2 linked regions of the Cricetulus griseus genome follow. The protein of the gene in region 2 interacts with the protein of the main gene of each other region in a biochemical or structural test. Links are inferred from orthologs where the notes say so. Each region holds a gene or a part of one and is shown on either strand. Other genes may lie near its edges.

What was found.
Region 1: the proteins of Rab6a (region 2) and Kif20a form a complex in vitro, tested with the Homo sapiens proteins (2 studies listed by BioGRID). The link is inferred for Cricetulus griseus from reciprocal best matches to the Homo sapiens genes RAB6A and KIF20A.

Annotation. Positions count from the first base shown.
Region 1 is NC_048595.1:202,845,728-202,861,340, forward strand, and holds Kif20a (kinesin-like protein KIF20A), read right to left. Parts: upstream 10,050-15,613; 5' UTR 9,911-10,049; intron 9,256-9,910; 5' UTR 9,234-9,255; coding exon 9,072-9,233; intron 7,326-9,071; coding exon 7,236-7,325; intron 7,147-7,235; coding exon 7,027-7,146; intron 6,456-7,026; coding exon 6,317-6,455; intron 6,215-6,316; coding exon 6,027-6,214; intron 5,949-6,026; coding exon 5,822-5,948; intron 5,634-5,821; coding exon 5,439-5,633; intron 5,341-5,438; coding exon 5,229-5,340; intron 5,125-5,228; coding exon 5,056-5,124; intron 4,865-5,055; coding exon 4,721-4,864; intron 4,591-4,720; coding exon 4,425-4,590; intron 4,319-4,424; coding exon 4,154-4,318; intron 4,028-4,153; coding exon 3,888-4,027; intron 2,795-3,887; coding exon 2,692-2,794; intron 2,285-2,691; coding exon 2,086-2,284; intron 1,886-2,085; coding exon 1,794-1,885; intron 1,524-1,793; coding exon 1,386-1,523; intron 843-1,385; coding exon 525-842; 3' UTR 339-524; and 1 more. Other genes in the region: Brd8 (bromodomain-containing protein 8), read left to right, coding at 10,419-10,437, 11,708-11,804. UniProt on the Homo sapiens protein: Mitotic kinesin required for chromosome passenger complex (CPC)-mediated cytokinesis. Following phosphorylation by PLK1, involved in recruitment of PLK1 to the central spindle. Interacts with guanosine triphosphate (GTP)-bound forms of RAB6A and RAB6B.
Region 2 is NC_048596.1:98,875,041-98,890,653, forward strand, and holds part of Rab6a (ras-related protein Rab-6A), read right to left. Parts: intron 11,721-15,613; coding exon 11,662-11,720; intron 10,139-11,661; coding exon 10,085-10,138; intron 8,057-10,084; coding exon 7,951-8,056; intron 7,885-7,950; coding exon of another isoform or gene 7,779-7,884; intron 5,894-7,778; coding exon 5,782-5,893; intron 4,643-5,781; coding exon 4,549-4,642; intron 526-4,548; coding exon 459-525; intron 1-458. UniProt on the Homo sapiens protein: The small GTPases Rab are key regulators of intracellular membrane trafficking, from the formation of transport vesicles to their fusion with membranes.

The sequences.
Region 1 (15,613 bases), on a different chromosome or scaffold from region 2:
TTTTATTCCCCTTTTATTTTTAAGACTTCATTTATAAAGAAACATTATCTGGACATTGTGGAGCATGTCTTTAATCCTAGCATTTTGGAGACAGAGGCAGGTGGACTTTTTGAAACCAGCTGTCTACACAGCAAGTTCCAGGCCAGTCAGAGCTACATATATAGTAAAACCAAACAAAAAACAAACCTTTCAAATATGTATTGCCATTTGACTCATTTTGTAGTGCGCCTTAGGCTGGTTCCCATTGCTGTTCCTGTCCAAGGGTCCAACGGGCCAGATGGTATTTATATCAGTTTCTGTCCCCCTTTTTATATTTTTCTAAGTTTGGAATCCAAATAAAAGCATAAACCATGTCTTTATTCAGTATATTTGTGCATGGGAAAAAAAAAAAAGAGATTATATAGGTATTATAATAATTCTGAATACAGTTCAGGATATATATACATATATGCTGAAGCTTAAGAGACAAGCTGAGCAGCTGACCAATCTCAGAGCATCAAGCATGCATTTTCATCTCCACAACTTTAGTATTTTTTGCCAAAAGGAGATCTGAGCAAAGGAGAGTGCCGTGAGCGCAAGATCCGTGTATAAGGGCCACTGTCTGTCGAACTTTGGCAGGTGGGTGTTCGGGGAAGTAAGTTTCGAAGGAATGGTTTCTTTCCTGGGGGTTGATGATTTGGTTGCTGGTTTTCCTGGTTTGTTCCCAGCCGCTTTTTAGAAGAAGAAGCCTGGTTTTGGAGCTTTAGCACAGTGTGATACTGCTCAGCAATGCAGGCTGCCTTTTTCCGAAGGTCCAGTTTCACTAGCATCATGTTATTTTGTAGCTCAGCCAGGGTCTGGTTCTAAGAAACATACAAGTTAGAGAAAAAAAAATGTGCCATCTATTACTAGTTTCTTCAAAGGTTGAATCTTCAATGGGTGTGGTAGTACACACCTTTAATCCTAGCACTTGAGAGGCAGAGGCAGGCAGATCTCTGTGAGTTTGAGGCCAGCCTGGTCGGAGTTCCAGGACAGCCTCCAAAGCTACAGAGAAACCTTGCCTCAAAAAACAAACAATTAAAAAATCCTAACATTTCTAAATTCTAGGCCAGCCAGCACTAAATAGAGAGAACCCATCATCTTGTGAAAACAAAGACCAGAACTTTCAGCCTGTCCCTAGGTATCAAGTACCATGTTCAGTCTAAAAAGTATAAATTTTAAGATCTCTGGCATCAGGAGAGGTCATAGCTTAGTGGTGGAGTGCCTGTTTAGAATATACGAAGCATTGGGTCCCACCCCCAACATGACATCAGCATCATTTTTTCACTAGTACATCTTTGTCAGTTCCTTCTCACATATACACTGGAGGGGGGTAAAAAGGGGAGGGATATCTAGGCTGCACTCACCTGTTTGATTAAGATGTCATCACAGTTGGTCAAGGCTTGCCGAAGTTTCCCTGCCCCGGTGCTGTGGCAACAGGCCCTTTCTGCTGACTGGAGAGACTGTCCTAATTTCTGAAGCTCTGTCCGTAGCATTCTTATATTCTGAAAGAGTAGGAATCACATTGTGGCCAAAATCAATCATGGCAGCCATCTGAAGACAGACTTATGGAGGCTGGAGGTTGGTGAGGGCACTTGCTCCCCAAGCTTGACAGTCTCAGGAACCCATATGGAACCCATGTGGCCCCCACAGTACTACACACAAATAAATAAATGTAAAGCAAAAACTGGTTTTCCAAATAAACCAAAAACAAGCTCCCACGTTTTCACATAAATTCCAGATAAAGTGCTTTGATAACAGAGAAAGGTTAATACCTTCTGGCCCTCCTCTAACTTCTTATCTACATCAATGGTGAAGGGCTTGGCTGTCGGTGGTGGTTCTAACATTTGCTGATACTTCTGCAGCTCTGAGAGGGGGAAACACAATATAAGTACACTTAATATAGGTTTTTCTCAGCTTTTGGCTTACCTTTTTAACAGTAGTACATAGCCAAAGTGAGGCAATGTGCATTCTAGAGTAAGATGTGGGTGGATGCAGCTTGGAGTTTGAATACCAGCTCTTCCCTCGCCCACTACCACTGTAGGGCTTTCTGCCTTCCTTCCTCACCTTCAGTTGTAGAGTTTAACTCTGCTTTGCATTGCTCTAGTTTAGCTGTAACTTCCTGCAGCTGCTGAGTGGAGGCAGAAGCTGCCAACCTTTGTGACCGCCGTAGGGACAGTTCAGACCCTGACTGTTGAGCCACAGGCTGCTGCTGTTTGGCTTCCTGCAATAGAGTTTCTAGCTCTTCAATTTTTTCATCCCGCTCCTAAGAGGGAAGCAGAGAGCACAATTCTGTCCAGGGTCAGACAAATACCAAAGGACCAGATTAAACAAACATAAATCTTGACCTTGAACCCTGAACCTAAACTCAGTAACTGCAAGGCACTAAGGGAAATGAAGAAAAAGGAGTATACATTCCTGTTGTTACTAGAGTTTCTAAAACACCTTTAATCCTAGCACTTAGGAGGCAGAGAGGCAGGTGGATCTCCAAGTCTGAGGCCAGTCTAGTCTACAGAGAGTTCCAGGATAGCCAAGATTCTTATAGAGAGAAACTCTGTCTCACAAACCAAATTAACCAATAAATAAACAAATAAAAGTAGAAATTCTTTTTATTTCAGACAACTAACCGATGGAATTATGAGTGGCAGTTGGGACTGGTTGGGGCAAACTCACCTGAATCTCTTCTTGGTAGAAACTTGTCAATGATTCCTTCAGGATCTTTAGCTTCTCTTCATACAGTTCCTCCAACAGTTCCTTTTGGTGGTCTAAATGCTCACTGACAGAAAAGGGTAGGTAGTGAGGATTCTGAGGAGTGAAATTGAGGCACAAACCCACCCTTCTGCCCCCTATATCATAGTTGACTCAGAAAGGTCCAGAAATAGGGATGCAGAAATAAAGGGAACAGGAATATAGATATATAAAATTATAAGTCCAAACACATTTTCAAAAACAAAAACAACCCACAAAGCTGGCAGCCGCTCTTAACCTTCAACAGCTACTTTCTGCCTTAAGAGCAGATATCCTTGCCAGGCGGTGATGGTGCACGCCTTTAATCCCAGCACTTGGGAGGCAGAGACAGGTGGATTTATCTGTTCAGCTTGGTCTGCTTAGTGAGATCCAGGGCAGGTTCCAAAGCTACAGGGAGACCTTGTCTCAAAAAAAAAAAAAAAAAAAAAAAAACCCAACAAAACAGACACCCTGGCAGCCACTGTGTACAGAGGTAAATTGTCTCCTACCTCCCAGCTAGGCAGGCACAGCAGACCAAGGTTAGCTTCTAACTATTGCAGGAGGAGTTGTTGTATTCCCTTAATTTTTAAACCTTTCTCCTATGTGACTCTATTCTGTGCCTTGTGTTCTTTCAGGGACAATGAAAACCTGCTGTATCAACCACAGGCTTTTGCAAACACCCCAAGTTAACACCCTAACATCCTTTAACAAAAAGTTGTATAACTTAAAATGTAACGTGACCTCAAAGTTGTAAAAGCTCTTTGACCCAAAACAAGCCCCTATTGCCATTTTCAGAAGCCAGATCTCTAGCTGTGGTCCCAGTTAACTGGTAAGCTTTTTATTTCCCATGGTGATTTTTTTTTAAAGAAAGATTTATTTATTTGTTTTATGTATATAGCATTCTGCCTCTATGAATGCCTCACACCAGAAGAGAGCACCAGATCTCATTATAGAGGTTTAAGCCACCACGTGGTTGCTGGGACTTGAACTCAGACCTCTGGAAGAGCAGTTAGAAGAGCCATCTCTCCACCCCAATTTTTTGGAATAAAGTTTGCTTCTGTTTCAGACTTTGGTGGTCTGTTCCTCCAGTTTTTGTGCCCCTAGACCCAACAACTCAGTAGAAAGGGTCACTTGGCCAGTACCTGCACCATTGCTCCCGCTGTTGCATCTGTTCTACCATCTCATTGCAAATTTCCTCCCGGAGCTGCATCTCCAACTGCAGCTTTTCTTGTCGTTCCTTTAAAATCAGTGTTTTCATGGCTTCCACCACTTGTAATAGCTCCTAGAAAGAACACATCTGTAAGAGATCTTAAGATCCTCCAGCAGCAAAAGACCCAAACCCATCTGGAACACACTAGGGAAAATGTACAGCCATCAAGCTGCTATCTAGCGCTTTCTTGTATCTCACCTCCTTGCCATACATGGAGATGTCAGCTTCGTTTTCAGGATGGTCATCAAGGCCTGAGTCGGTGTGGTCTCCTTTCTTTAAGCCAGGGGATACCTGAAGACTGTGTTCCTTGATGAATGAATGCAGGGATGGGATTCCCAAATGTACAGGTGGGGCATGCACAAGCTACAGGAAGAAAAAAAAAATCTTAATTGACTCTTTAGTTCCTAAGAGCTATCCTAGGGTTGCCAGTCCAAAGTAAGCACCGTCATCCATGCCCATAGCTTCACACCTGGCTGGCAAGGGCCGAGAACTTGGCCACATGAAGAGTCTCATCGTAAGTGGATGCACAGGGATTCACATTGACAATCATACATGAACGGCCTCGACCAGTGAAGAAGCCTTGGAACACACGAGTCAACTTGCTGTCTCGGAAAGGAATCAGGTTCTGCTTTGACCTTGCAGAGAATCAGATAAATAGCATTGTCAACATAACTTCAGCCCTGGAAGTTTCTAGGCTCCAGCCTCACTGGTGACCTGTAAGTGACCAAATCACCAAGCCCCAGGCCATCCTTGCCTACAGCTTACCGGTTCTGCTGATTTTGTCGCAAGGCAGCAATACATCGACCCAGGGTATGCAGAGAAGTGTTAATGTTTCCTGCTTCCTTTAGCCGTTCACCACTTCTTTGATCTTTGCAGCGCTCTGAGCCAGCCAAATCACACAGTGACAGTCTGGATGGAATAATGTGTAGGATCTGGTATAAGGAACTCATAGCTTATATAATTCTGGTAAGGGAAGGGCCTACCTTTTTTTTTTTTTTTTTGGACCCAAAGAAGGAGAACAATTAATTCCTTTGAGAAGTTCCCCTTGCCCCCACAACTAGGTGGCCAAGATGATCACAGTTTTAAGTGGGAAAACTTACTCACTGATCTTGGGCACTATATCCCCTTCTCCCTGAAGGTGCAAGATTCTGATTGAGAAGATGCTGTGACTGAAAAGGAAGGGGAAAAAAAAAAATCACTATAATGTCTTCAACAATCAGGTGGAGAACTAAAGCTTCCTAGACACAGGGAAGAGTTAATTCTCATAACTTGCCTTCGACTAGAGTTCTGGTTCAGGTGGGTGTTAGCAAAGCTCTGGTTCTTACGACCCACTTTCAAGAGTTTCCAGGCTTCTTCAACATCTCGAACATGAATCCAGTTGAGGTCTGGGGTCAAGACAGAAAGGTGGGAACACTTAGCCCCTTTTCCAATTTGCCCACATGTCCCTCCTGGTTTCCTAGCAACCTGCTCTCCCTTTGCATACCTTTGACATAAGGATTGCCGTTTTGATCCTCACACAGCCGCAGTGTCTGTCTCTTATGCTGATGGCTAGGTGATTCTAACAGGTCATAAAGCAATTCATTGTAGATCTCAAAGAAGGAGATCCAGACAGAGAAGCGAATGTCTGCTGGGACACTTACTGGGGCAGTGTCTGGCTGTGCCCATGACTGACTTGTTTCTATGAAAAAAACCAAAGTGTTTGTAGTTCATTAACCAAGGAGCATTTCATCTTGCCTTGATCTATAGGAACTTCAAAAGATGGACTTCAAGTTGCAGTCTCTGACCTATACCCCTCACAGCTAGCTACTGGGTGTAGGGAGTGGGTCCCCACCATTGCCCAGCACAGAGCCTACTCATGGTACATACCATCCAGCTGGCTACTGCTAGTGAACTGACTGGTGGAAGAGAGCCCAGCAATGCCACTGTCAAAGCTGGTGCTGGTACCCAACCGACTGTCAATGTGGACACGTTTCTTCAACGATGTGGACAGCTCCTGAAGGGGCAAAGAGAGAAGATAAGCACAAGTCTTTCCTGAATTCTGTACTTTATCCCAGCTTCACCAATACTTCACCTCCTGGAGGCCTCCAGTTAGCAAGGACAGCTTCTTTAGTTCCTCCTGTCGAACCTGCTTGCTGTCCAGCCAGATTACCTCATTGGAGAGCAAGGGCTTCAGATCAGGTGTTGTATGAAGTTGGCCTTGGAGACTATTAAAGATGAGAGCCAAGGACCGAGGCAGGATCCCCCCATCCTTAATAGTACCTGGAAGAATATCAGAGATAGTGTCTTTCACTTGGCATCCAAAGGTAAAGACAACCATTAGATAGATGCTGGTTAGTAACCCTGCTGAAGCTCACTACTTACCTTGAACTGTGTAGGTTTTCCCTGAGTTGGTGACTCCGTATGTGTATATGAGCCAGTTCTGCCCTTTGAGTACATCCTTTACCATCTCCTTCACAGCCAGGTTGAAGAAGGGTGCCTGTCCCACTTCTGGTCCAAATATCTAAAACAGACCTGTTTATCAGAGGCCACACTGCCATGTTTCCTGTGTAGGACTAGTAGGTGTGCTCCTTCTCTGGGGACTACTCAAGCAGGTTTTCCAGCTGGACTCCAGCTGTTCCTAAATGCTGAAGACTCAATCCCTCTCTGCTAGTCCTTTTCTTCAAAATTAAATACTTAAGGACTGCTTTTTGTGATGCTGTGCATATAAGGGGATAGTATAATTGGGTATAAGCAAGGATTTGGAGATGGTGGCTCTAGATCCCAGTCCTGTCTTCCACTTACTAGTTCTATGGTTTCAGCAAAATTACCTTCATTGTAATATGAGCCATAGTATTCTCATCAGGGAAAAGAGATAATAGTAATTATAACAGGTGGGAGTGAATGCATATAAAGTACCCGACACATTGACTGGCACATGACAAGGTCCCAAAGTTATAGATACACACATAAAGAACTCACACTTAGGAAGAAATCTTTTAAAGAAGAAATAAAGCTGGGCAGAGGTGGCACACATCTTTAATCCCAGAAAAGATAAAGTATTGGGTCTATGTTCTTACACCAGTATTGCATACCTGGGAAAAGGTGAATTTGTGGGTAGCCTGACCAATTCCCCTCTCGTTGCTCTTCAAGGCAAAGGAATCTTTGGGTGCTTGTAGCATAAGGGTTTCTGTATTCTCAATACGGACACAGCCCTGAGAAGTAGAAAGTAGAGGTCACCATAGTAAAGAAGCATTCCTAGGGAGCCTCTTTTGTACTACACTATTCCACCTTAAATCCTCACCTGGTCTTCCTGTCGGTCCAACTCAGAAGTTAAGAAGGGTCTGATTCGAAGGTAAACTTTCACCCTCTCTGCAGTGTCCTCAAATGGAGCCTGTAACAGATTTCAGCCAGGACATAGAGTTAACCTCTAAGCAAATGGGCAAACAGCCCAGTTCCTGGGAAGCATGCTACCAATCCTATCTCAATGATCCTGTATCACTAACTATTCTTTGGTTCCACAATCATTCTAGCTCACATGAGCTTTGTATCCTTTCCTGTCTCATCACTGCCCTGCAAATCTGGCTTGCTATTCCAGTGGTCTGAGTTAGAATTGGTTGATGTTTGAAAACCAGCATGTACCAGGGATGGTGGTGTGTGCTTGTAATCCCAATATCCAGTAGTAAGAAGACATGGGAATCGGAAACTTAAAGCCAGTGACTGACTACAAAGACTACCCCCCCCCAATTTTTTTTTTTTAATTTATTTAACTTGGGTCCTCTGGAAGAGCAGGAAGGGCTCTTAACCCTAAGCCAATGTTCCAATTCAATAATTTTTTTTTCAAAGCTCAGTAATGAAAATTGGGTCAGCAAGATGGCTCAGCTTGCTGAACAAGACTGCCAACTTGAGTTCAATCATATGAATCCATATAAAAATGGAAGAGAACTGACTCTACAAAGTTGTCCTCTGACCTCCACATGTGTGTCCCCAACACACACACACACTCACACCACAGACACCATCAAATAAGAATAGACATGCCTGAATCTGAGTTCCAATTTAATCACTTAGTAATTAGGAGACCATGAACAAAGTTCTGAGTGACTTATCTGAAGAATGAAGTTAAACAGCAATCACTCTGTTTATTCAGCAGATATTTAGAGAATGTCTATTCCCAAGGACACTGAATTTCAATTAGTGAAAAGGTAATGCATCTGGTGGATAGCAGCCAGAAATGCTACTAAACATCTTGCCAAGCATAGGGCAGCCCCCTCCAACAAGGGTTTGACTCCAAACATGAATAGTGCCATTACTGAGAATCTTTGGCCTTACAAATGAAAGGTTAAAACAAAGGCAGCTATGGTTATTATTGAAACATGAATTCCATTCTACCTAGTTAAGGCCACTATGGTCATGTGCAAACATTGTATTGGTGCTAAGATCTGAACCTAGGACATACCAAACATGCATTCTCACACTCTCCATCCTTTCACCTCTTATTTAACATAAATAAATACTGGAGAAATAAGATTATCCCCTCATCAATTAACTGAAAACATGATGAACTTGGGGTATTTCAGGAACATAATGCCAATAATATTTTTCCCTCCTCTCCACCCCTAACAGGGTTACTCTGTCTAACAGTCCTAGCTATCTTAGACTAGCACTGTAGACCAGACCTTGAACTCACAGAGATCTGCCTGCCTCATGCTGGGATTAAAGGCATGTGCCATCACCTATTTTCCAATTGTTTTGCCCTGTTTGTTTGTTTGTTTGCTATTAAAAAGATTTATTTTGTATGCAGTGTTTTGCCTGTATGTATTCCTGCATTCCAGAAGAGGGTACTAGATCTCATGACAGATGGTTGTGAGTCACCATGTCGGTGCTGGGAATTGAATGTAGTACCTCTGGAAGAGTAGCCAGTGCTCTTAATTGCTGAGCTATCTCTCTCTCCAGCCCTTGCCCTTTTTTTTGTTTTGGGTTTTCGAGACAGGGTTTCTCTGTGTGACCGCCCTGGCTGTCCTCGAACTCACAGAGATCCACCTGCCTCTGCCTCCCGAGTGCTGGGATCAAAGGCTTGTGTCACCACCACCCAGCTGAGGATATCACTTTCTGCCTCTAAGCCACTCGACTCCTTTACCTGTTTGTCTTCCAGAGACGTGGAGATGACAGAGCACTCTGACAACAGGTCCTTTCGGATCACAGACCTCAGGTCTGCAGCTGTGGATTCAAACATGGGGGAGACTAGAACATCCTCATCGGACAGTAAGTCCGCCGGCGGAGAAAGGATCCCGTGATCCATGGCAAGGAGAGTCAGCCAACGACTAAAAAGAAAAAAAGTAAATGGGTAGAAGAACATTAACACACAGAAACTGCAAACCTGGGCAGGGCGTTGGTGGCACACGCCTTTAATCCCAGCACTCGGGAGGCAGAGGCAGGCGGATCTCTGAGTTCGAGGTCAGCCTGGTCTCCAGAGCGAGTTCCAGAATAGGCTCCAAAGCTACACAGAGAAACCCTGTCTCGAAAACAAACAAAGAAAGAAAGAAAGAAAGAAAGAAAGAAAGAAAGAGAGAGAGAGAGAGAGAGAGAGAGAGAAACAAACTGCAAACCTGTGGGCTGAAACCAATCCCCTGGTGAGGGGGATGACCTTGCCCAGGACACTCGGTCGCGACTATAAACCACTATCAGCCAAGGGGAAAAGAATGAGAATAACCAGCCCGAGGCTGCATTTCTGAAGGCGAATAGGCACCGAGAGGTAATCAGCTCTAAAAGCAGAAGGCCGCGCGCGCCCCCACAGAGGCTGTCTACAGGCCCACCAGTGCAAGTGTGTTTCAGGATCCCTACGGTACTTTTCCCAACCTCACTCCTAACATAACTGAGGCAACTCAAGGGATGACAGAAGACACGGCGGGGGGGGGGTGTCCTGAGGACTGTGCCACCCAGGCAAGAGCTGAAGCGCTCCAGCCCAATTGCACCTACCCGAAGACGGTCTACCTCGCTGCTTCTCCGGCCCAGCTCCCACCCAGTTGCAGAACGGAGACTCTACCGGAGAACACAACTCCGCCCACGAGGCGCAGCTTTGTCCCCGGACAATGTTTTAAATTGCGCGCTGGGCTCGTCCCACCAATCAGAACGCGAAGTCTGAAGAAACCAATCAGCGAATGGGAGGCGGCGGAGCCCACCGGGAGGCCGTTTGTCTCTAATGTGGGTCCGGTTACCAACTGTCGGGGATTCCAAGTTATTCGTTATGGGATTCGTTTCTCTCAACTCTGAAGCTCTAGCTGTAGACGTTTCTTTCCTGAGGCTTCAGCTGCTCTCCCTTGCCCTGGGTTAGTTTAAAAAGAAAAAAAACAAAAACTAAGGCTGACTTCTACTGGGGCAAACTGACCCACCCACATTACCCAGGAGGCCCCGCGAATGGACGCTGGTCCCGTATTTCCCAGAGTTCCCCGCGTCTTTCGCAGGCGTTGAAGACGTCGAAGCTAAAATGGCGACCGGGACGGGCAGTGAGTATCGTAAGCCGCTTTGACGTTCAAGGCCTTTGTAGGGCCGAGGCTCGGCATCCCATTTTCGTCATGCACAAAGGGAGTGTCCGAGGAGGGAGTTGTCAGAGACCTGCCTTCCGTGGCGCTCTCCGTCAGGGCCGTTGCCTGGGGTCTGAGCGTTGCAGGGATGAACGGAGGCTGGAGACGCCGCCGGGGCAGGGGGCCTTTGTGTGCTCGGCGCTGTCCAGGCTAAAGACCCTCAGCGTAAAGGCAGTACCGACTGGCCTGCCGCTCGCTTGTTTTTCTAACCAACCTGTGTGAAACAGTCGGAATGAGATCTGTTAACTGTGGGCGTTTCCTGCCGCCGGGGGAAAAATGCGTTTCGCGAATCTCCAGCCATTTTTTTTTTTTCCGGTTTCACTGACTAGCAGCCTTATGCGGGACGGCTGAGGGGAGGGGCTGGGGTGTAAACAAACAACTTTATGCAAAGGAGGAGGTGGGCAGTAGGAGCCGGTGGCCGCTGGGAATCTTGGGAAATAAGCTTGCGTTCAAACTGGAATAAAGTTATAAAACTGGGTCTTTAAGGAGATCCCCCCCCCCTTTTTCTTTAATTAAACGTAACACTGCCCCTTTTTTTGAAGCAGATCTTAAGGCCATGGCCTTTGAACAAATAAAATGTTCTATAAATGCGTATTCAGAGAACAGGTATCATGGCTGGTAGTGATTGTATTTTATTGGAATGATGAAAGTCAAGATTTGGTGATCATAAATAATTGGTGGTAGTAGTTCACTTTGTTCGAACAAGATTGAGATTTGTTTTGAGGCAGGACCCTGGCTGGCCTTAATCAGGCTTTTAGCTGTTCTGGGACTTAGAACTACCTCGGTGGTCATTTCTTTTTTGTTTGTTTTTGTTTTTCGAGGCAGGGTTTCTCTGTGTAGCTTTGGAGCCTGCCCTGGAACTCGATCTGTAGACCAGGCTGGCCTCGAACTCAGAGATCCACCTGCCTCTTCTTCCCCAGTGCTGGGATTGAAGGCGTGTGCTTCCCCCCCTCATCCCCCCACCCCACCCCACCCCTGCTGCCCAGTGGTCATTTCTGTTCTGTTTTTGTATTTTTTGAGGCAGGGTTTTTCTGTGTAGCTTTGGAGCCTATCCTGGCACTCTCTCTGTAGACCAGGCTGGCCTTGAACTCACAGAGATCCGCCTGCCTCTGCCTCCCTAGTGTTGGGATTGAAGTCATGCACCACCAACGCCTGCCCTCAGTGGTCATTTCTAAGTCTTCTTTATTCCCAGAGCACAAGCTGCTGAGTACTGGCCCAACAGAGCCATGGTCCATCCGAGAGAAGTTGTGTTTAGCATCTTCTGTTATGAGGAGTGGAGATCAGAACTGGTAAGAAATCTAAGATATCTGATTTCTTGGGCTGTAGTACTGAGTCTTTTCTTTTCTTTTCTTTTTTGTTTTTGAGACAGGGTCTCTCTGTGTGTAGTCCTGGCTATCTTAGAACTCACACTGTAGACCAGGCTGGCCTGAACACAGAGATTGCCTGCCTCTGCCTCCTCAGTGCTAGAATTAAAGGCGTGCTTCAAACTCCTCGCTGTGTAGCCTAGGATGACCTTGAACTCCTGATCCTGCTTCTACTTCCTGAATGCTATGATTATAGGCATGTACTGAGGCTTGGTTTTTGTAGTACGGATCAAATTAAGATTTCGTGCTTGCTAAATCAGCACTCTACCAACTGAGCTATATCCCCATCACCTTCAGGTTTTTTATGTGCTTCACAATATTTCCTGTCCTTTATTGTAGCCATACTGGTAATATAAAGTCATATTTCATCACCAGTTTTTTAAATATTTATTTGCGTGTTTGTATGTGCATAGAAGTGTAGAGGTCAGAAGGCAGCTTGCAAGATTTGTTTCTCTTTTTCCACCTTGTGGGTTCTAGGGATCAAACAAAGATCCAGCTGAGCCAACTCTTTGTACATTGTTGTTTTGTTTTGTTTTCCTCTGTAACAGCCCTAACTCACTGTCTTAGAGCTTTGTAGACCAGGCTGGCCTCCAACTCGTAGAGATCCACCTGCTTCTGCCTCCTGCATGCTAGGATTAAAGTTGTGCACTGCCACACCCAGCTTTGTTTTTGTTCTTAATTTTTATTTATTTTTATGAGCATTAGTGTTTTGGCTTCATGTATATCTGTGTGAGGGTATCAGGTCCCTGGAACTGGAGTTACCAGCCATGTAGGTGCTGGGAATTGAGCCTGGGTCCTCTGGAAAAGCAGCTAGTGGAAAAGCAGCTGGAAAACCTCTAAGCCCCCTCCTTTTGTTTTTTGTTTTTTTAAGACAGGGTCTATATATGTAGTTCAGGCTAACCTAGACATCCCAGTGATGTCCCCTTTTCAGCCTTCTCGCCTAGAATTACAAATTTGAGCCACTACATCTAGTTCCTTATTGTAGTTTTGATATGCATTTCTCTCTGTGTGGCATATTTTCATGTGGCCATATAGGCATTGTATATTTAATGGAGAAAGTTATGCTCAATTTTTGTCCATTTTTGATTTTTGGTTTTTTTTTTTTATTCCTTTCTATAATTGCATTATAATTCTTTGTGTATCTGGAGACTAATTCTTTGACAATTTAGAACTATTTCTCCTATTTTGTATGCTGTCTTTTTTTTTTAAGAATTCTTTTTAATTTATTTTTATTTTATGTGCATTGGTGTTTTGCCTGCATGTGTGTCTGTGTGAGGGTGTCAGATCCCCTGGACTGAAGCTACAGACAGTTGTAACCTGCCACATGGGTGCTGGGAATTGAACCAGGGTCCTCTGGTTAACTGTCAGTTCTCTTAACCACTGAACTATCATCTCTCCAGCCCCCAAGAAACATTTTTTTTTTTTAAGATTTATTTATTATGTATGCAGTGTTCTGCCTGCATGTGTCCCTGCCGGCCAAAAGAGGGCACCAGACTACATTACAGATGGTTGGGAGCCACCATGTGGTTGCTGGGAATTAAACTCAGGACCTCTGGAAGAATGGGCAGTGCTCTTAACCCATGAGTCATCTCTCCAGCCCCAAGAAACAATTTTTTAGTCGTTTATTTTTCATGTGTATGAGTTTTGCATGCATGTATAAAAAATTATATATATTTTTGTTTTTCGAGACAGCGTTTCTCCGTATTGCTTTGGAATTTGTCCTGGAATTTGCTCTCTAGACCAGGCTGACCTCGAACTCAAAAAGATCCACCTGTCTCTGCCTTCTGAGTGCTGGGATTAAAGATGTGTGCCACCAAAGCCCGGCTTGCCTGCTTGTATATTATCTAACATGTGTATTCTAGAAGAGGGTGTTACAGGAGTAACAGATGGAGTAAGAGGTTTTGAGGCACCAAAGAGGTTTTGAGGTGCTGGGGATTGAACCAAAGTCCTCTGGATGAGCAGCCAGTGCTCTTACTATTGAGCTATCTCTCCAGCTGTCTTTGCACTGTTTTGATTAGTATTGTTTACAGCACAAAAGTTTTGGAAACATTTTTTCAAGGTAGGGCCTCTTCTATATAGCTCTGGCTGTCTGGAACTCTGTCGACCAGACTGGCTTTGAACCCAACAGAAATCTGCCTGCCTTTGCCTCTCTAGTGCTGAGATTAAAAGCATAAGCCACCAGACCCAGCCAAAGGTTTTTATTTCTATTATACTACTTTAGTTTCTTCTGTTGTTTTGCTTGAGAATTGTCTAGGAAAATACTTATTTTGCTTTTTTTGTTTATTGGCTTTTACTATTAAATTTTTTACTACCATTGTTGTTTTGTGTGTAGCAGTGTTTTGCCTGCATGTATGCATGTGTACTATGAGTTTGCCTGGTGCCTTTGGAAGAAGTCTTGCTGAAATGTCTTTAAGTTGGTTATAAAGGTTTGTTTTTGTTGATAGCCTCCAAATCTTTATGTAGCCCCACATCATCTGATCTTGTCCTCAAGAATTTTTACCTCTGTCTGCTGTTTGTTGGGGTTATAGGTATATTCTAACACACACTCAGTTAGATATTTCCTTTCTCTTTTTTTGAGACAGGGTTTCTTTGTATGATCCTGGCTGCCCTAGAACTCTGTAGACCAGGCTGGCCTCAAATTCACAGAGATCCATCCACCTGCCACTGCTGGGATTAAAGGCGTGTACCACCACCTCCTGGCTCAGCTAGATAATATTTTAATTACAGAAAGTTGTGCATAGATTGGTTCCTACCTTTTAATTCAGTGGCTATGAACTTGGCTTTGTTGCTGTTGTTATTTTGATTACAGATATGTATGGTAATACTGTTCAGTTTTTCCTCTGTCAGGAAGTTAGTGAAGAGGTTTAATATAGTTATAGGCCCTGGTTGATAGAAAAAGCTCTTAGGGGATTAGTTTGGTTTGGTTTATTTTGGCATGGGGTTTCACTTTGTAGCCTTGGCTGCCTGGTCAGCCATATAGATCAATACCTGGCTTCTTTGAGGAGAAGGGTGGGCTGGAGACAATGACAGGATCTCTTTATTTAGTTCTGGCTGGTCTGATACTCATTGTGTAGCTCAGGCTAGCTTCAAACTTACCATAGCTCTCCTGTCTCAGCCTCCTGTTTGTTAGAATTAATAGTATACATTATACACAGTGAAAAATACTTCATAAAATTTAAACAGCTGGTACATGCTTTTAATCCCAGCACTCAGAATTCTGAAGCAAGGGGATCTCTGAGTTTGAGGCCAGCCTGGTCTACAAAGTGAGCTCCAGGACGGCCAGGGCTTTTTCACTGAGAAACCCTGTCTCCAAAAAACAAAACAAAAAGTTGTGAGCTTTTAAGAGCTATTTTTTTTAAAAAAAAAACCAGTTACGTTGCTTTGTTTTTGTTTTTTTGAGACAGGGTTTCTCTGTGTAGCTTTGGAGCCTATCCTGGCATTTGCTCTGTAAACCAGGCTGGCCCCGAACTCACAGAGATCCGCCTGCCTCTGCCTCCCGAGTGCTGGGACTAAAGGTGTGCACCATCAGTATCCAGCTAGTTATGAGTTAATAAAGGTATTTAAATACAGTTTCATGATGAGGATTAAGTGGCTCAGAAGGAACGACGAGAGTAGAGGTGTGGGCTTCTCAAAAGGAGTCATAAAAGTAAGATATACCAAATATGGGTACTGGTTTCTCGAGGGAGAGTGGCCATAAAGCTCATTTTAAGAATCTAGTTGGTCTGGAGAGTTAG
Region 2 (15,613 bases):
TAAATAAAAAGGAGAAAGAGAGCAGAATACCAGCACTGCCCTCTGCTTCCTGACCGCAGACCATGGCCAATTACCTCCCAATCTCGAGTGATTTTGTTGCTGTATCTGCCCCACAGGATCAGCAGGCAGTGTCTTAACAGTAAGTGAGGCAAACAAATCCTCCATCCTTACCTGCTTTTGTCAGGTGGTTTGTCTCAGCAACAAGCAAATAACAAACCTCTCAAGTATGGCTCCAAAGAGTAGTAGTAGTAGTAAAAAAAAAAAAAAAAAAAAAAAAGTCTTTTTTTGAGAAAGAGGCTCTCTACATAGACCTGGTTGTCCTGGATTTACCGTGTGGACCAGGATGGCATCGAACTCACAGAGACCTGTCTGCCTCTGCTTCCCAAGTGCTGGGGCTAAAGGCATGTACCTCCACACCTGGCTAGACAGTAAACTTTCCTTAAAAACAAAAAGGATACTGTCTTCTCTGCTTCTGTCCTGTGTGCTTTCCATTCCAGGTAAAGCTGCAGCAACACGTCGGAAAAGCTGTGAGAAGAGAAGGTATTAAGATGATGACCATGATTGGCAAGCAAAGGACATAGCTTTTAGGTTACTCCTCACATAGATGACTGCATCAAGAAGGCAATTAAGACCTTCAAGATAACTGATAGTAAGGATTTATTACTGTCATCTTACAGCTACTATACAGTGATAAAAAAAATCATATATACATACATACATACATATCTCCAACATTAGCACACCAAAATGTAAACTGTTTAATAGATCTGACACAATACATAGTAACACAGTAACAGGACAAGAGGAACCATGTGCTCCGGACATACACCAGATCTGCAGAACCAGGAGAGGTCATAGTAAATGTAGGGATGTGAAGGAACTATTTTATTCCCATCTCATTTTTTTTTTTTTTTTTTTTTTGAGACAGGGTTTCTCTGTGTATAACAGCTATGGCTGTCCTTGAACTCGAACTCACTCCTCTGCCTGCCTCTGCTTCCTGAAAGCTGGGATTACAGGTGTGTACCACCACTGCCCAGCACCATCCCAATTTTTACCCCCAACCCCAAATTGATCTAATATGTAATCCTTATCCTTACCCACCCCATGTCTCTCCCAATCTTACTAACTAATCTCCTAATCTTACTAAAATTGAAGCCTACTCTGATGAACTACCTGTGGTTGTTTATCCTCAACTATAAACTGGATAGTATGACTTCTGCACAGTGGTGTAATCAAACAGCTATAGTTTCTCTCTCCAAGTCAATATCCTAACTCAGGGGACAACAAGGCACTTATACCAGGCATCCTGAGCTTATGGACCACATATTAAATTTTAGCATATCCAAGTCCCATATGAATATTACAAATACTTCAACTGAAAGAATACAGAAAACAAACAAACCCATTTGTAAAACCCCTAATGCAATAAAACAAAAACCCAGATACAGATAACATAACTCTTCCAAAAAATTACTAACCCTCCAATAATGGCATCTAGTGAAATCAGATGAAATCCCAGAGAACTCAATGTAAGACCTATGTTCAACATGCAAACAGCTGGACAAAATAGTTAAGGTGATAGATGCTATAAAAGAGGGATTCAACAAAAACAAATACTGAAGAAAAACCAATCTGAAATGCTAGAAAAGTATAGTAAAAGTCAAATAAAAAGCTTCATGGAAAGTCTCAGTAATAGAATGGATCAAGGAAAGAGAGAGGACAGAATATCTGAGCTTGAAGAAAACAGCAATAGAAACCCTAGAGTGCACACAAACTCATGGAGATCAAACAATACAACCAAACAATGAATGGGTCCTTGAATTATTCAAACAATAATTAAAAAACATTCCTAGAATTAAATGAAAATGAAAACACAACAAACCCTTGAGATACAATGAATGCAGTTCTAAGAAGGAAGTTTATAGCTCTAAATGCCTACATTAGGAAAATCACCTTAACGATCCAGAAAAAAAAACAAAAACAAAAAAAAACCAAACAAACAAGAAGCCAAACTGAATCAGTAGAAGGAAAGAAATCACTATGATCAGGAATTAACAACAAAGGATACAAAGAATCAACAAAACAAAGAGTTGGTTTTTTGAAAAGATAAATAAGATAATCCTTTAGTCAAACTGACCAACAAAAAGACCCCCATTCATAAAATTAGAGATGAAAAGGGAGGGCTGAAGAGATGGCTCAGAGGTTAAGGGCATTGACTGATCTTCCAGAGGACCAGAGTTCAATTCTTAGCAACCCATGGTGGCTCATAATCTTTAATGAGATCTGGTACCCTCTTCTGGCATGCAGGGATACATGCAGACAGAACACTGTGTACATAACAAATAAACAAATCTATTTATTGCCGGGTGTTGGTGGCACACATCTTTAATCCCAGCACTCGGGAGGCAGAGGCAGGCGGATCTCTGTGAGTTTGAAGTCAGCCTGGTCTACAGATTGAGTTCTAGGACAGGCTCCAAAGCAATACAGAGAAACCTTGTCTCGAAAAATCACACACACACACACACAAAAAACCCCAAAAAAACAAAACAACAACAACAACAAAAAAACAGAGAGACAGATAAAAAGGGAGTTCTTACAACAAATGCCAATGAAACTAAAAAAACATATATTCCACTACAGTGGACCAGCTAAAAAAAAAATGAATAAACTTCTAGAGGCATATGATCTACCAAAATTAAACCAAAATGAGATAATTTAAATAGATCCAGAACAAGCAATGAGCCTGAAGCAGTAATTAAAAATCTCCCAACTAGGCTGCCTAAAACTTATTCCAAAAACAGCTGGCATCACAATGTAGATGGAGAAAATCTTATTGGACTCCATTCCTAGAAGAGCTATAAGCAATTAACAATTTCTGAGAAAGGGAGAATTAGTCTTCCCCAGAGATGAGCCCCCTAATAAGTTATCCAGTACCAGATAGTCAGCCCTAGAAACTTTTGTGCTTGCAACACCGAATGGACTCAGTAAACTGTATTTATATATTTAGTTGTTTATTTGTGTGATCGTTAGAATGAGAATGGCCCCATAGGCTCATATGTCTGAATGCTCTGCAGTTGGTGGAACTGTTTGGGAAGAAATGTTTCAAAAGCCCAGCCATTCCCAATTAGCTATCTCTTTCTCTCTCTCTGCCTTCAGTTCAAGGATCAGATGTAAGTAAGTGTTCAGCTACTGCTCTGGTACCATGCCTGCCTTCCAGTCCCGCCCCCCACCTCCCCATAATCGCCATGGACTCACCCTCTGAAACTGTAAGCAAGCCCCCCAATTAGATGCTTTCTTTTTTTCCCAAAACAGGGTTTCTCAGTGTAGCCTTGGCTGTCCTGGAACTCACAGAGATCCTCCCGCCTCTACCTACTGAGGCCTGGGATTAAAGGTGTGCGCCACCACACATAGATTACTAATTCAGCTCTGAGTCTTGTTCACAAAATCTTTCTGCAGTGGACAGTGGCTAATATAGAGACTAATAACTGGTCAAACTGCTGAAAATAAGCATGTGAGTGCTCACTAACTCACCTCCACCCCCAAGGCACTGTGAACATCTCAGAAAAGGGTTTGAAGGAATTTAAGTGTTGAAAAATGGGAGGAATGCTGTGAAATGGTGCCTTCTTGATATGATATGGACTCTGCATTCATTAACATCAGCTGTGGTTACCTAGACTTGCACAAGTACAAGCCAGTCAACATCTCAGCATGGGTTGGGGAGGAGCTAACAAGGCCCTACTCTTAGCTGAGAAGCTATTTTCACTGACAGTTGTTGGGGACAGAAATCCACCCCCCCACCCCAACTTTGGGGATGTAGCCATGGGTACATTGTCATGCCTCTGCCTCCAGAGTGCCGGGATTAAAGGCATGCACCACCACTGCCCAGCTTCCTTTTGTAAAATTTAAGTACCATCAATTTATAAAAAATGAAGTAATAAGAATGTACTTTTACAGCAGTCAAATAGTAGTTTTCATGTGTAAGTCTTGACTACCAAATTCTGAAATAAGGAAAGTCTACATTTAAGACAATGAAGCAGGGATGTAGTAAGACTTCGGAAGTTCAGAACTTTATACTCAGAAATATTGCAATCACAATGAATTTGTTATCCTGTGTAAAATCTGAACAGTTTTGTAAATACTTTTTTTTTCTTTTTTTTACAAAAAAGGGAACGTGCTGCGCGAATTCATTTTGCCAACAGTTTTGGGGAAACCAGTCTTGGGGCGTGATTTCTATGTGTGGATGTGATCTCTTAGAAAGGGGGTCTCTGGCTCTCTTGTGTTCCATTGACCCCAGGACAGAACAGAAGACCCCAGTGGCTCTCTATCTTACTGTTATTTGTAAGTGTTCCCCAATAAATAGCTGATATCCTTTTACTTGGTCTCTCATGGACTCACTCACCATCACCTGCATTACTTTTTTCTCACTCTATGAATTCTAGTTGCTGTTGCTAAATGAAATAAAACTTTGCACTAAACATTAGCTTACTCACAATTATTTCACATTTTCTTAATTTAGGAACAAACATTTCACACTCAAAGAAAACTTACCTGCTTTACATTGTATCCTGCTTTTGCACTGGTTTCAATAAACATAACGTTCAGCTCTTTGGCTTTCCTTTCTCCCTCCTCAATTGACACTTGCCTATAGAAAAAAAAAGTAATGACAAATTCTTATTTTATTTATTTGGGTTGTTTTTGAGGCAGAGTTTTCCTGTGTAGTCCTGTTTGTCCTGAACTCCCTCTGTATACTAGGTTGGTCTAAAACTCGAACTCCTCTACCTCCCAAGTGCTAGGATCAAAGGTGTATGCCACCAGACCTGGCAACAATTTTTTTTTTTTGAAAGATGAAATCCTAAGATTATAAACAAAGATTCTATTGGTGTTGGTTATATAAACAACTGTTATATTGTTAGTAACTGTTTGTAGCATTTAAGAGCTGTACATTACATGTCTGTGTTTGTGTGTATATTTATATCCGCCTCCCATACTGGGAATTGAACTTAAGTCTTAAACATGTTAGGCAAGAGCTCTACCAACGAGCATATACAGCTTAAGAACTTTTCTTTCTTTCTTTTTAAACTAAATTTCATGTCTATTTACCACATGCATAATTAGTACCTATGGACAATTTCAAAAGAGGGCATTGGAGCCCTTGGAGCTATAGCTACAGATGGTTGTGAGTATCATGTGGGTTCTGGGAATTGAACAGCCAGTACTATTCTGGAAAGAGCATCCAGTACTCCTAACCTCTTAATGACTTAAAAAAGAAAAAAAAAAAAAAGACAGTGTCAGGCCAGGTGTGTCGATGCACGCCTTTAATTCCAGCACTCAGGATTGAAGCAAAGGCAGGGAGATCTCTGAGTTTGAGAGCAGCCTGGACTACAGAGTGAGTTACAGGACAGCCAGGACCATTGCATAGAGAATCCCTGTTTTGAAAAACCAAAGAGTAAGCATCCCATCCCCCCACCCCCTTCACAGCTGTCTCTAACTCCAAGGAGTATGATGCCATCTTTTGGTCTCGGTGGGCACCTGAACACATGCAGTGCATATACAGACAAGCAGGTACACACACAAATAAAAATAAAAAATACTAAAAACATTAAACCATATGAATTTAGCCTTGTAATTTTAAGTTTTACGCAAAAAGTGCATGTCAATTTGCTGTTACAATTTATGTAATAATTTACCAACTGTTAAAAATGTAAACATCTTTTCAAAGCCAATTTTTAGTAAACAAACATGCTGCTTAACATAGAAACCAAGCATTCAGTTATTTCATACCTCTTATCAGCAAGATCTGTTTTATTTCCTACTAACATGATGATAACATCACTTCCTCTTTCTGTTCTGACATCATCAATCCATTTTGTAGTTTGCTGGAATGAGTTAACATCTGGCATTGAGAGTGGACAGAGGGATTAGTGTTACTGAAAATGCCACCCCCAGTGAAGGACAACACTTCCCACAAACACCCTGAAAGAGGGAAGGGAGGACAGCACATTAAGACCCCATTTTTAATGTGCCTACAACGTAACTCCATTTTATCTGATTACAACTGTCAGTGATTTAGATGAATCTGAAGTAGAAAAAAAAATATTCAAAGTTCATTTTAGAGAAAAGCTTTTTTGACAATAACCAAACTATTGTAAAAGTAATACATAATTATAAAAACCAAAAGCTTTCTGACATCTAAACACAGCTACAGCAGATAATATGGTGTTACATTGCCACAATGCTTTTTTTGATCACTTACACTAATACATACCAAACATGACAAAGAAAGCATTTCAAAAGTATGTCAGCCAGAAGTCCCAACACATCCAGAAAATTCATAAAGGCTTTCAACACCACTGTGCTTGCATTGCTTACTTAGTTTGTGATCACTTTAACCAGATTTTTAAAAATCCTTTCTTCTACCTCTATCTGCCTCTTCCTGGGATTAAAGGTATACACCTCAGAGCCTGACTCTTGAATTTGTTTTGTATTAGAGTCTATGTGAAGCAACCTGAAGTTCATTAGTTTGATGTATCAGGTTCACTTCTAACTGAATTCATTCTTTGTAAGTATTAGATCCTAGCTAGAATACTTCAATATGCTTTTTAGCAGCTAAAGTAAGAAATTCCCTAGTGTTTTAACCACATTCGTGGAGTTAGAAGAAAACTACGACAAGCTTTGGTTAAAGTAAACACAAACACTTTAAAGCTACAAAACAGGCCAATGCATTATAATAAACATTAAAAAACAAAAACAACCCCAAGTAGCAACCTAAAGTAAAGCTGCAAGAGAAGAAACACAGCATACAGCACATACCCAAAAAAGTTTAAAAAAAAAAAAAAAAGAAGAAAAATACATCATGGAATATAATCTTCTTATTTTTGCCACTGTAATTATTGTTTGGTAACTATGACTTTTGAGTGAATATACAAAAATTTCTAGTAATATGACTAGCTCAAATCAGCTGCTTAGACATGGTATTTTTACACAAGTCCAAGATGCTGCATAACCTTGTTTTTCCCATAAATTATGGGCTAGTCTATGGAATGATGTTCAACATTGCTTTACATGTGTAATAAAACAATTTATAAAGATAAATTCACCAGAGAGCAGTCACCAATGCTCAGTGGAAATTTTATAGTCACTTAAAGACCAAAAGGCACTCAGGTCTTGAAGAAAATAAAAATACTGTTTTATTTTCCATTTAAATTTTTTCTTGGAGAGAAATGAAAGTGTAATGTGTTAGCAACAAAGAAAACCAGTCACAGAATCCATATACTCAAACAAAAATGACTAACAGAAAAATACACATTGTGTTTCTCTGTTTTTCTCTATGTAAGAGAATGACTGGAAGGGGTAAGCAGAGAAAACTCCAGCTGGCAGAAACTTTTTAAAGCCTCCAAAAAAGCCATGTAGGATCTGCAATACTTGGCAAGAAACTTATACAGATTATCTTTGAAATCTAAGATAAACTAATGAATAATATTCCTTTAATTATAATTATAGGATAGTTTATGGATAAGAGGCTATTATAGAAGCCTTGAAAAAGATTCATAAATAGATCCAAAAGACAATTTCTGAAGATCAAAACCCTGGCACAGAGACATAAAGCATATTGGTACAAACATGGAGGCAAATATTTCTGATTTGGCTAGTCTGTGATACAGTTTGCTATGATAAAACATTTTACATGCCAGTAAGGAAAACAAGCACAAGACAAAACATGCATGCAGCTAAGCTAAAGGTTGAAAGAAGATTAGAAATGCATAATTCCCCCCACTCACTTGTGATATCATAAACAACAACAGCCACAGTGGAGTCACGAATGTAGCTAGGAATCAAGCTCCTGAACCGCTCTTGACCTGCTGTGTCCCATAATTGCAATCGCACCTAACAACAAAATCAGTCAAACAAGCAAGAAAAGTAAGAAAGGTCAACCCATTGCAGTATACCTACTTGTGATATCGTAAACTACTACGGCTGCAGCAGAGTCACGGATGTAACTGGGAATGAGGCTACGGAAACGTTCCTGACCCGCAGTATCCCACAGCTGCAGCCTGATCTGTGGGATGGGAAAAAATAAATAAAACCAAAAAAAAACAAACAACAGAAAAACAAAACAAAAACCCAAAAAAACTAATACTTAAAAAAAAGGGAATGAGTTTTGTAATATGAGTGGTACATAACTCATGTAGAGGTTTAATACAGAAGAATGAAAACATAAAACTCATTTCTGAAAAGTGAGAAATATTATGAAGTTGCTCGTTTTAAAGGTACAATTACTGAAAATGCTTTGTGAAAGATTTCACAGAATCAGAAATAAGGTTTTCCTCATCCCTCCCCATAACTTTGAATCCCAGTATCTTATCTTCCAAATGATAAAACGTAGACTCTTGGGCTGGGCGGTGGTGGTGGTGGTGGTGGTGGTGGTGGTGGTGGTGGTGGTGCACGCCTTTTAAACTCAGCGCTTGAGAGGCAGAGACAGGTGGATCTCTGTAAGTTTGAGGCCAGCCTGGTCTACAGAACGAGTTCCAGGACAGCCTCCAAAGCTACTGAGAAACTCTGTCTCAAAAAGAAAAGAAAAGGGGCTGGAGAGATGGCTCAGGGGTTAAGAGCACTGCCCGTTCTTCCAGAGATCCTGAGTTCAATTCCCAGCAACCACATGGTGGTTCCCAACCATCTGTAATGTAGTCTAGTGCCCTCTTCTGGAGTGCAGGGATACATGCAGTCAGAACACTATACATAATAAATAAATAAATCTTAAAAAAAAAAAAAAGAAAGAAAAGAAGAAAAAGCAGACTGTTGATTTACAAATACTGAGAGAGAATGAAAGCAAATGTTAATGCAAATCTGAAGCTATCAGATGACACAGTAAGTAATGCTTCTCTGAGATCCTCTCTAAAGTTAAAATGTGTATTTCCTGGGTCTGGGACTACTGTGTGTATGTTTCTTCTATACATTTCTGCCCCGAACACTGTGGATAATGGGGGGGGGGGGGGTGTCTGCAATTTTTTTTTAAAGATTCCAAACTCTCAAGTTTTTAAGAAAAGCTGTATTATATACGAAAACATCCAAGAGGAAAAGAAACCCATACTTCAGAAATAAATAAACACTAGAGATAATGCAATATTTTGGGTGCATTAAAGTTATTCACTGTTTAAGCTGGTGATAGGAGTCTCTTCAAGGAGGAGTAGGCCAAAATGTAATTTTTTAAAATAAGAATTGGTGGTATTTATTTATTTATTTATTTATTTATTTATTTATTTATTTATTTATTGTGTATGCAGTGTTCTGCCTGCATGTATGCCTGCATTCCAGTAGAGGGCACCAGATCTCATTGGAGATGGTTGTGAGCCACCTTATGATTACTAGGAATTGCACTCAGGACCTCTGGAAGAGCAGGAAGTGCTCTTAACCTCTGAGCCATCTTTCCAGCCCTAAAATATAATTTTTTTAAGGGAACACTCAACAATAAGGAAGATAAAAATCTGACATATATTTTCCCCGTTCAACCACTCTGTTACATGTTCTTCTCTGACAAAGTCTTTAAGTCCACAAATTATGAAACCTTTCTGAATGATCTGAGTGGTGCTCAAAAGGTCTTTAGCAGCTCTAATTTCTTCATGAAAATTCCATTAATTCTCTTATAAATTAATCTGTTGTCCTCTTTCTTCCTTCCTTCCTTTCTTTCTTTTTGAGACAAGGTTTCTCTGTGTAGCTCTGGCTGTCCTGGAACTTGCTCTGTAGACTAGCCTGGCCTCGAACTCACAGAGATCCACCTGCCTCTGCCCCCCCTTAGTGCTGGTATTAAAGGCATGTGGCCTTTTTTCCTTTTTCTAAATCAAGACAGCAAAATAAGCCTAAGGACATCAGGGTTCTACAAACAAATTTTGACTTTCTTCCTTTGGATGTGAAATGGAAATAAGAAATCAAGAGTGCCAAATCAACTCGGCAATAAATTTTTCTCAAGATCTAATTTTGATGATTTTGCCAAAGCACTTCTGATGGGGACAATTGCTGACTACCCCTGTGATTCTTGTCTTCTAGCCTGGAGTGTTGCAGAAAACTGCACACTGAAAATATTACTCACTGTTCGATCCTCCAAATACATTGTTTTTGATAAGAAGTCAATGCCAATTGTTGCCTATAAAACAAAACAAAAGAGTTAGCAAGAAATAATAGTTTGTTGGCAGCCAACAGTTTAGGATACAAATAGGACATATGAATTTGAAAGAAAAATGGATATATATGTAACCACACTTTAGCCAAGTGAGAAAAGCCAATGTTCCATATACTAAGCACTAGCTCTGTGTTGCAGACTAATTACCTCAGGCCCTTTATGTGATCAATTCTCATCCTCATTCATGAAAGATAACTAATTTTCACATTTTATAGAGAACAAGACAATGGGGATTTTTGTGTGTACCAGAATACTAAAATATCTGAATACAAATCTTAGTCTGAATATCTTAATGTTCCCAAGTCAGAATGGCTATTATCAGACCCAATAGCAATTTTATGAAATATTGTTAATGTAAACATAATCATGCCTAAACTTCCCACATAATTGCTTGTTAGTGTCACAGACAGCCAGAGACCCAGAAGTATGATTCTCAAAGGGACAGGACTCTTCTAATATAAAGTAATGTATTAAAGTAAGGAAAACAAATTTTTCTCTTTGTCATTCAATACTAAGTACCTCCTGCGATCCAAACACAGTGCAAAATTCTGTGTACCTGGTTAAATAATAAAGAATTTTAAAAGGTTTAAAAAAAAAAAAAAAAAAAAAAAAAAAGGTGGGGTAAGGAAGCCTAAAATTACCAACCATCTATAAGTTCACTGCCAGGGGATCCAATGCCCTCTTCTGACCCCATGGGCACAAAGCATGCACATGGTGCATATACATGCACGAACGCAAAAATGAATAAATCTAATTTTAAAAGAAAAAGAGGAAAAAGGAAAAGCAGCTTCGTGCTGGTGTGTCCTTCCTTGCTTCTGATCCACTGACAAGTGAATTGTACTAGTTAGTCTACTATAACCTTCCTGTCATGATGGCCTGAATCCTTTATACATCATAAACTGAAATCAATTCCCAAAAAGGAATCTTAGAAGTCTTGGATGAATTCTCTGTAAGAATATCTAGTATCCCTTCTAATTCCATCTAAGAAAATATTAAAGATAATTTTTCAATAAACTTTGAAAGAAGCAAATGGAGTAAGGCTGGAACTACAGACAAGACTATTTTATACTTCGTGTTTATATAACAATGTATACATCATTGAAAGCAATTTTCTTTTCTTTTCCTTGTTTTTTGTTTGTCCAGGCAGGGTTTCTCTGTGTAGATAGCTCTGGCTGTCCTGGGATGGAACTCAGAGATCTACCTGCCTCCCAACTGCTAGGATTAAAGTCGTGGCCCATAGAGAGCATTTTTGTATCTACGACTGCATGTAAATAAAAGAACCTTATTTTTTTTTTTTTTTTTTTTGAGACAGGATTTCTCTGTGGCTTTGGAGGCTGTCCTGGAACTAGCTCTTGTAGACCAGGCTGGTCTCAAACTCACTGAGATCTGCCTGCCTCTGCATTCCAATAAATGAACTTTTAAAAATACCTTAACCATTCCTTTTAACATTAAGAGACAAATTTAACAAATTGGCAAAAACAAAGTACCTGATAGGTGTTGTCAAAACTGTCATACATGAATCTGGTGATCAAGGATGTCTTTCCAACTGAAATAAAAAGAGAGATTTGCTTAGTGAACATATTAAGTAATTAGGTTCCCAGGTACTGCTCAAAGGGTAACTATATGAATGGAAAGTATATTCAATGGTCTTATTCAATGTTTGCTGACAGGGCTTTCTTAATAATAAATAATGGTCTTTTCACATTAAGGGCACAGGCAAAAAGTATTTAGCTGAAAGTTGAAGAAAATGAAGAAGGGGATGGAATAAAACTATCATGTTGATATTCCAAATTTCCAAAAGCAAAAGCAGGTATTGGACCTAATGGGAGGAAGAAACAAACAAAATGAAACTCATAGCAGCTCATGCTCAATTTTAGCAAATCAAATGTGGTTCATAGGAGTAAAAAGCAGTGAGGGACAAAATAGTCCTGAGATGGGTCATCAGGGCTCTAAGAACCTAGGATTGTCAAAATGGCATGTGAAGGTGTTCTGAAACTCATTTCAATTCAAGCTCAAATCAGTTATGGTCTGGCATATTCTGTTTCACTGGTAGCGAAATTACAAAGATCTACAATTTTAACTTTTGCTATTAGCCCAAGCTGGCCTTAAACTCACTATGTAGCCTGGACTGGCCTCAAATTTGTGGTCATTCTCTTGCCTCAGTCTGTGGCGCACTGGGATTACAAGCATGTGCCACTGTGTCTAACTATAATTCAATTTTGCATTTCAAGTCTTAGGAAAAGCGCCACTTAGACTGAAATAGTGAAGTATTGGAACTTCCTTACTAATGACTGTGTTCTTCAAGAAAAAGAATACATCTAATTACTTTTCTATTTCTTCAGTCACTTCACATAGACTCTAAAACAAATGCTAAGAGCCAGGCTCAGTCCCAGGAAGAGGCAAGTAGATCTATGAGTTCAAGGTCAGCCTAATCTACAAAGTGAGTTCCAGATTAGCCAGGACTACATAGTGAAACCCAATCTCAAAAATCTCAAAGCAATACAACTAAGCAAATGTAATAAATTCTATAAGTTAGAAAGGAGCCAGGTAAATAAACTTCTCTAATATTCCCCAAAAACGTAAATATTGTGGGCAAGGATTAAAAACCACTCAGTCACTGACATTTTAGTATGATTTTTAAATAAGTTTTGTTTTCTTTTAAAGTATTTTTTAGCTTTAACTATGTGTGTATGCACCTACATACACATAAGTATGGGTGCCGACAAAGGTCAGAGATGGCAAATCTATCGGAAACTGGAGTTAATTGTAGTTGTGAACACCCTGAAATGGGTGACTGGAACCAAACTCAGGTCCTCTACAAGAACAGTACATATTCTTAACCTCTGATACATTTTTCCAGCCCCAAGTTTTTATTTCAATACAATTTTTTTTTTTTTTTTTTGGTTTTTCGAGACAGGGTTTCTCTGTGTAGCTTTGGAGCCTATCCTGGCACTCGCTCTGGAGACCAGGCTGGCCTCGAACTCACAGAGATATGCCTCCGAGTGCTGTGGATCAGACTGGCCTCACACTCAAGAGATCCACTTGCCTCTGCTTCCTGAGTGCTGGAATTAAAGGTGTACACCACCACTGCCCAGTTTAAAAAACAAACAAACAAACAAACAAACAAAAAACTACAGGGGAAAAAAAAACACAAAAAAAACAAAACAGGGTTTCTCTATACAGCTTTGGCTGTCCTGGGACTCTCTCTGTAGACCAGGTTGGCCTAGAGCTCTCTGCTTGCCTCTACCTTCTGAGTGTTGGGATTAAAGGTGTGCACCACCATGCCAGGCCAAATAGACTCCTTAACTGCATGTGTAAGATCTCAACATTCAATACAACAGAACACTCTGAGAGAAAAACAAATAAAAATAATCAAGAAAATCCAAATAAATGGAAGGATATATTATATAGTTGGTAGGAAGAATCAATGGGGGCTGAAGAGACAGTTGCCCTTAAAGAGGAGGTTCAATTCCCAGCACCTACATGGTGACTCCAGTTCCAGGGGATCCATTTCCCCCTTCTGGACTCTGTAAGCATCAGTCACAAGTCTGGTGCACAAACATACATGCAGGCAAAACATATGCACACATTAGATGAATGAATGAATGAATGAATAAGGATCAATGTTAAAATGACTCCCCAAATCATGCACAACACAAGCCCAGTTATAACTGCCTTTTGAAAAGACTACCAAATCAATTCTAAAGTTTATTTAAAAATACAAATAATTTAGGTTAAGGCGATCCTGGTATCAGTGAACAACTTCAAAACTGACTATGATAAACTATGATAGTATGATAATGGATACTGGCTTAAAGACAGAAAAACACAACAATGGAACACAACTGTGTCCAGAAATAGATAAAAATCTCAAGGTAGTTGAATAAACACCTCTGCCCCTGAGACCAAAACTATTTCCTCTGACTCACATTCTTCTCCAAAAGGAATAGAGATCAAACTTTTATATTTTCCTCCATCACAGCATCTCCAGAATACTGTTTTAAAAAGCATTTGTAGCTAAAACTATTTCCCAGAAATGAAACACTTTTTTTTTTCTTTTTTGGCCAGGCATGGTGGCACACATCTTTATTCTCAGCACACAGGAGGCAGAGAAAGAGATGGATCTCTTTTGAGTTAGAGGTCAATCTGGTCTACATAGTGAGTTCTAGGATAGCCAGGGCTATGTAGAGAGACCTTGTCTCAGTCCCACACTCTTAACAGTATTTAATTCTTAACTATAGTACTGTTTCACATAACAGATGTTTTTAGTATTATAAACTTTTATTCCTATTCTCACTCTACAGAATTAGTGGGGAAAAATTATTTTCTGCCACTTCTACTTAGGGAAAACCTTTGGTCTGTGTGGGTGGTGCACATCTGTAATCCAAGAACTCAGGAGGAAGAGGATTATTGCAAATTCAAAGCCACCATGGTCTTCATAATAAGGTCTAGGGCTATAGCAAGACCCTGCCCCCGTCCCATGTACACACACACACTCTCTTTGCCCTCAATGAAAATGAACAAATGGGCTAAAGAGAAGCTTAGCAGTAAGGAGCACTTTTGTTCTCACAGAAGATACAGGTTCAGTTCCTAGCACCCACACTGTGGTTCACAACTATCCCTAACTCCAGTTCCAATGGATCCAATAATGCCTTCTTCTGACCTCTGCAGGCAGCAGGCACATATGTGGTGCATATACATCCATACATGCAGGCAGAACACTCACACATATATTTTTTAAACTTTAGAAAAAGAAAATTAGCAAGTAATTTTACAACTAAAAAGTAGACAATCCTGAAATATTCAGAAGTAAAGTAATATACATCTTTGCCCAAGCTTAGCTTGAATAAATTCTTTTCTTTTTCTATTTTGGTTTTTCGAGACAGTGTTTTTCTGTGTAGCTTTCTCTTTGGAAACTCACTCTGTAGACCAGGATGGCCTCAAGCTCACAGAGATCCTTCTGCCTCTGCTTTCCGTGTGCTGGGACTAAAGGCGTGCACCACCATGCCCGGCTAGCTTGAACTTCTTATCCAGTCAGGTAGCTGAAGCCACAGGTGTTTGCCACAGTACTTTGCCTAGTTTTTATTTAGTTTTAATATAATTTTAGAAGAAACAAAACCACAATTGAGTATAGATCTATAGAAAATGGCTTACTGTGTTTTTTGATAGAGGGTGTCTCCTGGCTGTCCTGAACTTGCTATGTAGACCAGGCTGGTCTCCAACTCAGAGATCTGCTGGCCTCTGCCTCCAAAGTATTAAGAAGGCATGTACTACCATGCTCAGCTGTCTTATTTTGTGTTTTAAAGCTTAAGGGTAATTCAGAGTTACTGAAGCAGCATATCTTGGTTTAGTCGATTTCTGTTGCTGTAGAATTGCATCATTCAAATGAGACATCCTTGGATATAATAATGCAATGAGAGTTAGTTGCAGCCAAGCTTT